Cricetulus griseus: one gene and its partner. Each later gene encodes a partner of the first gene's protein in a complex. Links are inferred from orthologs where the notes say so. Each region holds a gene or a part of one and is shown on either strand. Other genes may lie near its edges.

The links. Proteins that work in one complex are often made in the same cells at the same time.
Region 2: Polr2e (region 1) and Polr1b share a complex: the UniProt entries of both Homo sapiens proteins name them as parts of the pol I pre-initiation complex. The link is inferred for Cricetulus griseus from reciprocal best matches to the Homo sapiens genes POLR2E and POLR1B.

What each region holds. Positions count from the first base shown.
Region 1 is NC_048598.1:100,836,431-100,840,416, forward strand, and holds the start of Polr2e (DNA-directed RNA polymerases I, II, and III subunit RPABC1), read right to left. Parts: upstream 2,802-3,986; 5' UTR 2,700-2,801; coding exon 2,643-2,699; intron 1,029-2,642; coding exon 830-1,028; intron 1-829. UniProt on the Homo sapiens protein: DNA-dependent RNA polymerase catalyzes the transcription of DNA into RNA using the four ribonucleoside triphosphates as substrates.
Region 2 is NC_048599.1:49,468,454-49,472,537, reverse strand, and holds the start of Polr1b (DNA-directed RNA polymerase I subunit RPA2), read left to right. Parts: upstream 1-1,281; coding exon 1,282-1,458; intron 1,459-2,396; coding exon 2,397-2,564; intron 2,565-2,733; exon of another isoform or gene 2,734-2,758; coding exon of another isoform or gene 2,759-2,941; intron 2,942-3,041; coding exon 3,042-3,188; intron 3,189-4,084. UniProt on the Homo sapiens protein: Catalytic core component of RNA polymerase I (Pol I), a DNA-dependent RNA polymerase which synthesizes ribosomal RNA precursors using the four ribonucleoside triphosphates as substrates.

The sequences.
Region 1 (3,986 bases):
CAAACTGCTGGATCTCAGACTCAACACTCCCAGTATATTTTTTCTTTTTGAGACAGGGACTTCTTGCATCAGTGTTCTCAACCCATTGGTCCTGACCCTTTGAGACCATAGGAAAACATGAGTATTTACATTATGACTCCAAACAGCAAAATTACAGATAGGAATGTTAGGGTTGGGGGTCACCACAACGTGAGGAACTGTTTTTATAAAGGGTCACAGCATTAGGAAGGTTGAGAACCACTGCTCTACATAGCTGTCCTAGCACTCACTGTATAGACCAGGCTGTTCTTGACCACCTGCCTCGTCTGTGTCTGCCAGGTTCTGGGGTTATGGGCATATGATGCCACGCCTATCCCTGCACCCCTAATTCTCACAGGCCCCAGGACCTCAAAGGTATTGAAGGCAACAGACTGTCTGGGGAGACCAGGAGGCAGCTGCACAAGAAGGGCTCAGGCTCTTTAATAGCACCCCTCCCACTTTCAGAAGTGCCTGGGCTGTAAGGCAGAAACTACACAACACAGCAGATGGGAGCCAGAGGGCCCAAGAGCTGGTGCTGGGACTCAAGGGGCAGAGAATGGACACCAACCAAACAAGGGAAGGTTTCCAGGGGAGGCAGGGACAAAAGCAGGCTGGCGACTACAGTAGTCCTGCAGGCAAGGCTGGGCCTGGGTGGTACCCACCCTCACTGGCTGGACAGAGAGCAGGAAGACCACAGAGGGAGGGCTGTGACATGTTACCTTAACTGGCACCTGAGCCAGGGACTGGGGAATGCCACCAGAATTATGGGACCCCAGAATCAGGCCTCTGTTACTGGTCCAAGGGGCCTCACCTGGGAAGAACACAAACATCTGGTCTGTGGGATCATCGTTGTGGGCCACCAGCACTGTCAGGTCTGTGCGCCTGGGTCTTCCTTCACTGGGTTTGTCCCCAAACTGAGCCTTGAACTCCTCAAGTGTCTGGTCCAGCTCATCCTGGGTCACCAGGTAGCCACGGTCATGACACAGCTGCAGAGACAAAGAATCACCTGTCTTTAGAGAGGAAATGAACACTCAGCATGAACTCCGGGACTACAGTGCCAGACCTATCCCTGAACAGCCTGGGCTGCTCGGGGATAGCATGAGGAGGAGCACTTAAGTGACCCAGCAGTACTGGCCAAGCCACAGTCTGGTCCCCAACCAGGCCCCACCCCACCCCAGCCTCACTGGGCAGGCTAGGGTAGATCCCCTGGCAACTTCCACCTCTCAGTGCCCCCACCCACTCTTCCTGTTTGGTCTTAGGCGTGATGAGGGAAGAGTAGAGTGTAATCCAGCATCGGGTTGAGGGGCAGGCCTGAGAGACCAGGCCCTGGGGTCCACCCAACGCAAAAATTAAAACTATGCAGGCCTCTTTCTCAACTGGGGTCTGGTCTGTCTCTTCCCTCTTCGTCTCCTTCTTTTTGTCTTTTGTTGTTCAGAGACAGGGTTTCTCTGTGTAGCCCTGATGTCCTAGAACTCCCTCTGTAGAACAGGTTGGTCTTGAACTCACAGAGATCCGCCTGCCTCAGCCCTCTGAGTGCTGGGATTAAAGGTGTGGACCACCACTTCCCAGCCAACCTAAGTTTCTTGGGACAGGGTCTCACAATGAAGCCCTGAGTGACTTCAAACTTTCAAATAGGCCAGGCTGGTCTTGAACTCAAGAGACTGACTGGCCTCGGGCCCAAGAGTGATGGGATGAAAGGTATGTGCTACCAGATTAGTATTTTTACCTTTTCTTTATTTTGGTTTCTTAAGACAAGGCTTCTCTACAAAGCCCTGACTGTCCTGGAACTCGCTAATGTAGATCAGGCTAGCTTCGAACTTACAGAGATCACCTGCCTGTGCCTCCCCAGTGCTGTCGTTAAAGGCTTCTCTCTGTCACTACGCCGGGGCAAAACTGTTTTTTGTTTTTTTCAAATATTGTTTTTCACTCTGTGTGAAACAGTCGAGAAAAGTGCGTCAGACCCGCTCAAACCAGGGTTACAGATGGTTGTGAGCTGCCGTGTGGATGCTGGGGCCTGGGCTAAGTGGGTGGAGGGCTGCCCCGCAGGCAGAGAACCCAGAGTCTCTCCCTCCGGCCCCCCATAAACACGGTGTGAGCACGCAGAGAACCCCGAGTCTCTCCCTCCGGCTCCCATAAGCGCGGTGTGAGCGCGCAGAGAACCCCGAGTTTCTCCCTCCAGCCCCCCATAAGCGCGGTGTGAGCGCGCAGAGAACCCCGAGTCTCTCCCTCCGGCCCCCATAAGCGCGATGTGAGCGCGCAGAGAACCCCGAGTCTCTCCCTCCAGCCCCCCATAAGCGCGGTGTGAGCGCGCAGAGAACCCCGAGTTTCCCTCCTCCGGCCCCCATAAGCGCGGTGTGAGCACGCAGAGAACCCAGAGTCTCTCCCTCCGGCCCCCCATAAACACGGTGTGAGCACGCAGAGAACCCCGAGTCTCTCCCTCCGGCCCCCATAAACGCGGTGTGAGCGCGCAGAGAACCCAGAGTTTCCCTCCTCCGGTCCCCATAAGCGCGGTGTGAGCGCGCAGAGAACCCCGAGTCTCTCCCTCCGGCCCCCATAAGCGCGGTGTGAGCGCGCAGCAGCCCTCCCGAGGCAGGGTGCGGGCTGGAGGCCGGCCGGTCACTCGCCTGCATGATGGTCTTGCGGATCTTCCACAGCCGGTAGGTCTCCTCCTCGTCGTCCATGCTGCCGCCGTCGCCCGGGAACCGCTGCGCCTGCGCCGAAGCCGAAAAGAGCTCCTCCCACTCCTGCGCACGCAAAGCGTCTGCGCGGAACAACGGAAAGCCCTCCCCTTCCCGCTCAGCGAGCTCTGTTCTGTCTTCCGCCTGGAAACGCGACTTCCACCTTAGGCTGCGTAGCGGGCAGCCCCGGCGATCCGCTGCGCGAGACCACCATCGAGAAAATGTCGCGATACTTGGCCGTCACAGCTTAAGAGTTCTCGAGAGGGAACTGGGCGCGTAGGCCACGCCTTTAACGCCGCCCTGGGGAGCCAGAGGCAGGCGGATCTCTGAGAGTTCGAGACCAGCCGGGTGTGCAGAGCGACAGGACCGCCAGGGCTGTTATACAGAGGAACCCTGACTCAAAAAACAAAACAACAACAAAAAGAAATGTCTATGTATCTTTTTCCTCTTTGGGGGGTGGGGTGGTTCACTGTGAGCCCTGGCCGGCCTGAAATTTGATATATAAACCAGGTTGTCTCAGTCTAGAATTAAAGGCGTGTACCAGCATGGCCAGCACTGGAAAACCAGATGCTCGCCATACCTCCCATTCTGTCCCGCCCGAGCTTGTCCTCAGAGTCCGCAGGTCATCTCTAATTCCTGCCTGGGAACCTGTGCTGACCCTGACTTGGAAAGGCAAGTTTCCAGCAAACTAGCGAGGCCCCCACCAAGTCTGTCTGACCACTGAACCCACTGCATGGGCTGCAAAACTGGGCTGCGCCTGGGACACCCTGGTTATAGAAGCCACAAACGCAGAGTAAGGGGATAGAGACACAATACGTTTTTGGAAAAACATATCTAGATCTGGGAGCAATGGTGGGTGCATTTGGTCCCAGCACTCTGGTGGGCAAATCTCTCTCTCTGAGCTCCTGACCAGACCCTGGGGGTTTTTGTGGGGTTTGTTTTGGTTTTTGGTATGGGGAGGAGCCCTTGTCATTAACTTTCAGGTGACAACAACCCTCTCATTCTTTCGGTGGTTGGTTTTGTTTTGTTTTGAGACAGGGTTTCACTGTGTAGCTCTGGCTATCCCAGAACTTGTCTGTAGACCACACTGATCTCTAACTCACAGAGATCTGACCATCTGACTGCCTCTGTCTCCTGAGTACCGGGATTAAAGTCCTGAACCACTACTTTCAGACAACTCTCTCATTCTCGGTGGTAATGAATGGGCAGAGCCTGAGTACCTGGGACATTAGGAAAATAATTGGTGCCACTGAGGGGAGTCAGTCCAAAGTGTAAGGATACATGCAAGTG
Region 2 (4,084 bases), on another chromosome or scaffold:
GTTTGACACTATTAGCCTCTAAGGAAATGCTAATCAAAATCTACAAATAGATGCAATTGTACAAGTGATAAGATTGATACAATCATAAAATAGTAAGGATGTTGCTAGAGGGGTGTTAAATTGTACAGCTCACTTGAATAGTTTCACAGAACTTCACAAAGTTAAGAATGGAGTAAATGACACAGAAATTCTGTTCTTAGCCCTGATACTTAAGAGAATTGAAAACATGCCCATACAAAAACTGATACCGTAGGATTTCTATCCAGAAGTGGTTTGGGGTGGCTTCTTTTGGCGTAGGGGGTTGAGTAGGATAGCCTGATTCCTGCTGGCCGTCCCAGTGATGAACTTGACTTATTAGTAGCTCGGGGCTGTGTATGGTGGCTTTCAATTCCAGCAGTCTGGAGGAGGCAGGTTGATCTCTGTTTATGCTAGACTAGCCTGGACTACAAATGGAGTTCCAGGACAACCAGGACTACAGACAACAGTGGTTCTCAAACCTTCCTAATGCTGCGACCCTTTAAGACAGTTCCTCATGTTGTGGTGACCCCCCAGACATAAAATTATTTTTGTTGCTACTTCATAACTGTAATTTTGCTACTGCTGTGAGTTGAAATGTAAATATTTTTGGAGATAAAGGTTCGTCAAAGGGATCGTGACCCACAGGTTGAAAACCGATGGCATAAGAGCCTCTGTCTCAAAAGACCAATAATTGGCTGGATTGATCGATCGATTGATAGATAGATGAGATAGATAGATAGATGATAGATAGATAGATGATAAAGAGTTGGGTAGAGAGAACAGAGGTTTAGGATCCAACAGCTGCATTTCGGTTGAAGCCAAGACGCCAGAGTCTCTTAGGGTTAGCATCAGGATGTAATCAGAAAACTGCCCAAAGCAACAGAAGAGACTCTTTGAAGATAGTTCTATCGGTTCTAATCGACTGATTGAGCAAATAAAGGCCACAGAAGTTACACACTAAAGTGCAGTGGGCTTTAGCAAGGTTTGCAGGATACATCTGGAAGAAGAGGCTAATCTGTCTCTGTGTGTAGTTTTCAACGGCCCAATAAGCAACAGTTTTGGTTCCCAGTCGGCCCTACAAAATGGAGGGACCCAGGGTGTGTGGCGGGGGGGAGGGGGGGGCCGGAACAAGAGGAACTACATTTCCCAGCAGGCCGTGGGGTCTGCGACTCCGGCCATTTCCTGCCGGCTGCAAGCGGAGTTGTGGTTCTGGTCTCCGGTCCCGGCTGCGAGTGGCGTCGCCGGTCTCGGCTTGGCAGAAGCATGGATCTCGACGGCCGGTGGCGGAGCCTGCCTAGTGGACCGAGCTTAAAGCACTTAACCGACCCGTCCTATGCGATTCCTCCGGAGCAGCAAAAGGCGGCGTTGCAAGACTTGACGCGGGCGCACGTGGACTCCTTCAACTATGCGGTGCTGGAGGGGCTGAGCCACGCGGTGCAGGTGAGCGGCGCGCCCTCGGCTCCGGAGCCCTACCGGCGGCCCGAGTGGGCCCGGAGGGTCCCAGCGGTTGAGGAGGTGGCCGGGAGGCCGCTGTACGGCTTTAAACAGTGACGTGCACTCACCGTGCAATGCTTTGGGTAGCTCAGAGAGAAAAGCGTTTCGTTGCTACTTGTAGCCGGTTCCCCAGTTAAGAGGCCTCTCAGGTTTGAGTGCTCCTCTTGGTTGTTGATTGTATAGAGAGAGAGGTAGCAGCACCAGCAGGCAGTCAATGCCAGTACTCTTGAGAACTGCCCTAAAATGTAGCGTTTACTGAGTCAGGGGCAGGAGGGAAGTGCGACTAATCCAGGTGTTTAGAAAGCCCACCTTTAGACAAGGTCAAGGAAAGAGGATGGTTCTTCCCTACAGGGGGAGGTTAGGTACAGGGAGAGCCATGTATGTAGTGGACACTACCCTGAGGTTTTGTTGCTGAACAATTGCGTTGTGAGAGATGGGGATGGAGATGCATTGGAGAGCTTTGACTGCCAGATTGAAACTTAAAAGTATGGGAGTCATTTGGAATTCTTTGAATTGCCAGGCTTCAGTCTGAGGGAATAAAATGTAAAAGCTTAGTATGAAGAATGGCGCTAAGAGCATCTGGTTTCCCTGTTCTTGCCCAAGAGCAGCAGTTCTCTCTGTCCTGCTGTATGGAGAAGGTAGACTTGGCTCAGCCTTTTCCCGTATCTGTAGAGCCTGCCCCACAATCAAATGCAAAGGCCCCTAGTGAATGGTTATGTATAGTTAAGTAGTTGGCGAAGTTACCAGTTTGTTGTAGCTTTAGTTGTCCCTTTTAGATGTGTTCCACTGACGTGATAGACATCAGTGAGTATAGACATCGAAGAGTCTTAGTGAAAAGTGCCTTGAAAAATGCAAGTGATTTAGTAGTACGAATTGTATTTCAGGCCATACCTCCCTTTGAATTTGCTTTCAAAGATGAACGAATATCTCTTACTATTGTGGATGCTGTTATCAGTCCACCCTCAGTGCCCAAAGGGACCATCTGCAAAGAGCTCAACGTTTATCCAGCCGAGTGCCGGGGCCGAAGGAGCACCTACCGTGGGAGGCTGACGGTGAGCATTAATGATGTGAGGTGGCTGTACTGCACCATTTTGAGACTCAAGCTAATGTCTTATAAGGTTATAGGAAAGGTCTGCTTTCTTAATGTTGCAACTTAAGGAATTGTATCTTTTGAACCTAACATGTAAAATCAATTCACTATGGCCCTCTTTCTTTTCTTAGAATACTCACTTGTGGGGATGGAGAGATGGCTCAATGGTTAAAGGCACTGACTATTTTTTCAGAGGACTGGGGTTTGGTTCCCAGCACCATGTGGTGGCTCACAACTGCCAGTAACTCCAGTTCCAGCAGATCTGATGCCCTCTTCTGGCCTCCACTGGCCCCAGACACACATCTGGTACATAGATATACAGGAAGGCCAAACATTCATGTACATAAAATAAAAATAAATACATCTAAACATTTAAAAAAATATATTCATTTATTCTTGCAGGTCCAGATAGTCTATTTTTTCTTTTGTTTTCATGTAGGCTGACATCAGCTGGGCAGTGAATGGAGTCCCCAAAGGGGTCATTAAACAGTTTCTTGGCTATGTTCCCATCATGGTAAAGTCTAAACTTTGCAACTTATACAACCTTCCTCCTCAAGCCCTCATTGAGCACCATGAGGAGGCAGAGGTAAGTGCAGGGATCTAGGTGGTGGGGAAACAGGAAGCTTGCCAGTGGAAATCAGTGTTTCTGACTTCTGATTTCTGGCTGTGTCGTATGGAGTGTTGATACTGTGCCTGAGTGCTGTGCATGACTCTTCCTCCCATCTATTGAGGCAGTGGAGAAAGCAGCTATACATTAAATGTTGTTTCTGGCATTGTACTAGGAGGATTTTTCCCCCTAGAAATCGTTTTCTTTTCCCTTTCCCTCCCTCCTCTTCCTCCTTCCCTTTTCCTCTTTCTACTTCCTCTTCCTGAACATGTTTGCTCATCTGAAACACAAGTGTGCCATCAGGCCACACTCCCAACCCAGATCTTCTTTTGTTACCTTTCTTTCTTTCTTTTTGGGTGTTGGGGTAGGGTGGGTCTTGCTATGTAGTCTTGGCTGGCCTGTAACTCACTGTGTGGATCAATCAGGCTGGCCTTTAACTCACAGAGATCCATCTTAATCTGCCGCCTCCCTCCCCCCACAGACACACAGTGCTGGGATTAAAGGTGTTGTACCACCAAGCCTGGCTCTTTCTCAATTTGGCCACGTGTAGAGGTCACAGGATCAGCAGGCAACATCTGAGGAGTTGGTTCTCTTCTTCCATCATGTGGCTCTCAGGGTTTGAACTCAGATCTTCAGGCTCTACAGCAAATATCTTTCCCCACTGAGTGATTTTTCTGGTCCTAATTTTTTGAATTATACATGTTCAGAGGCATACTTACTCACAAAAGTATTGTAGGAACTGTTTTTACTTACAGTAAAATTCCCTGAGCTTATTGAATGACTGACCCATGTCCCTTTTTTTCGTGGTTTCTCCAGCGGTGTGAGGCAGTTCTGGGTTACTGAGCTGAAGTAGTGGGAGTGTGCAGACTCGACCT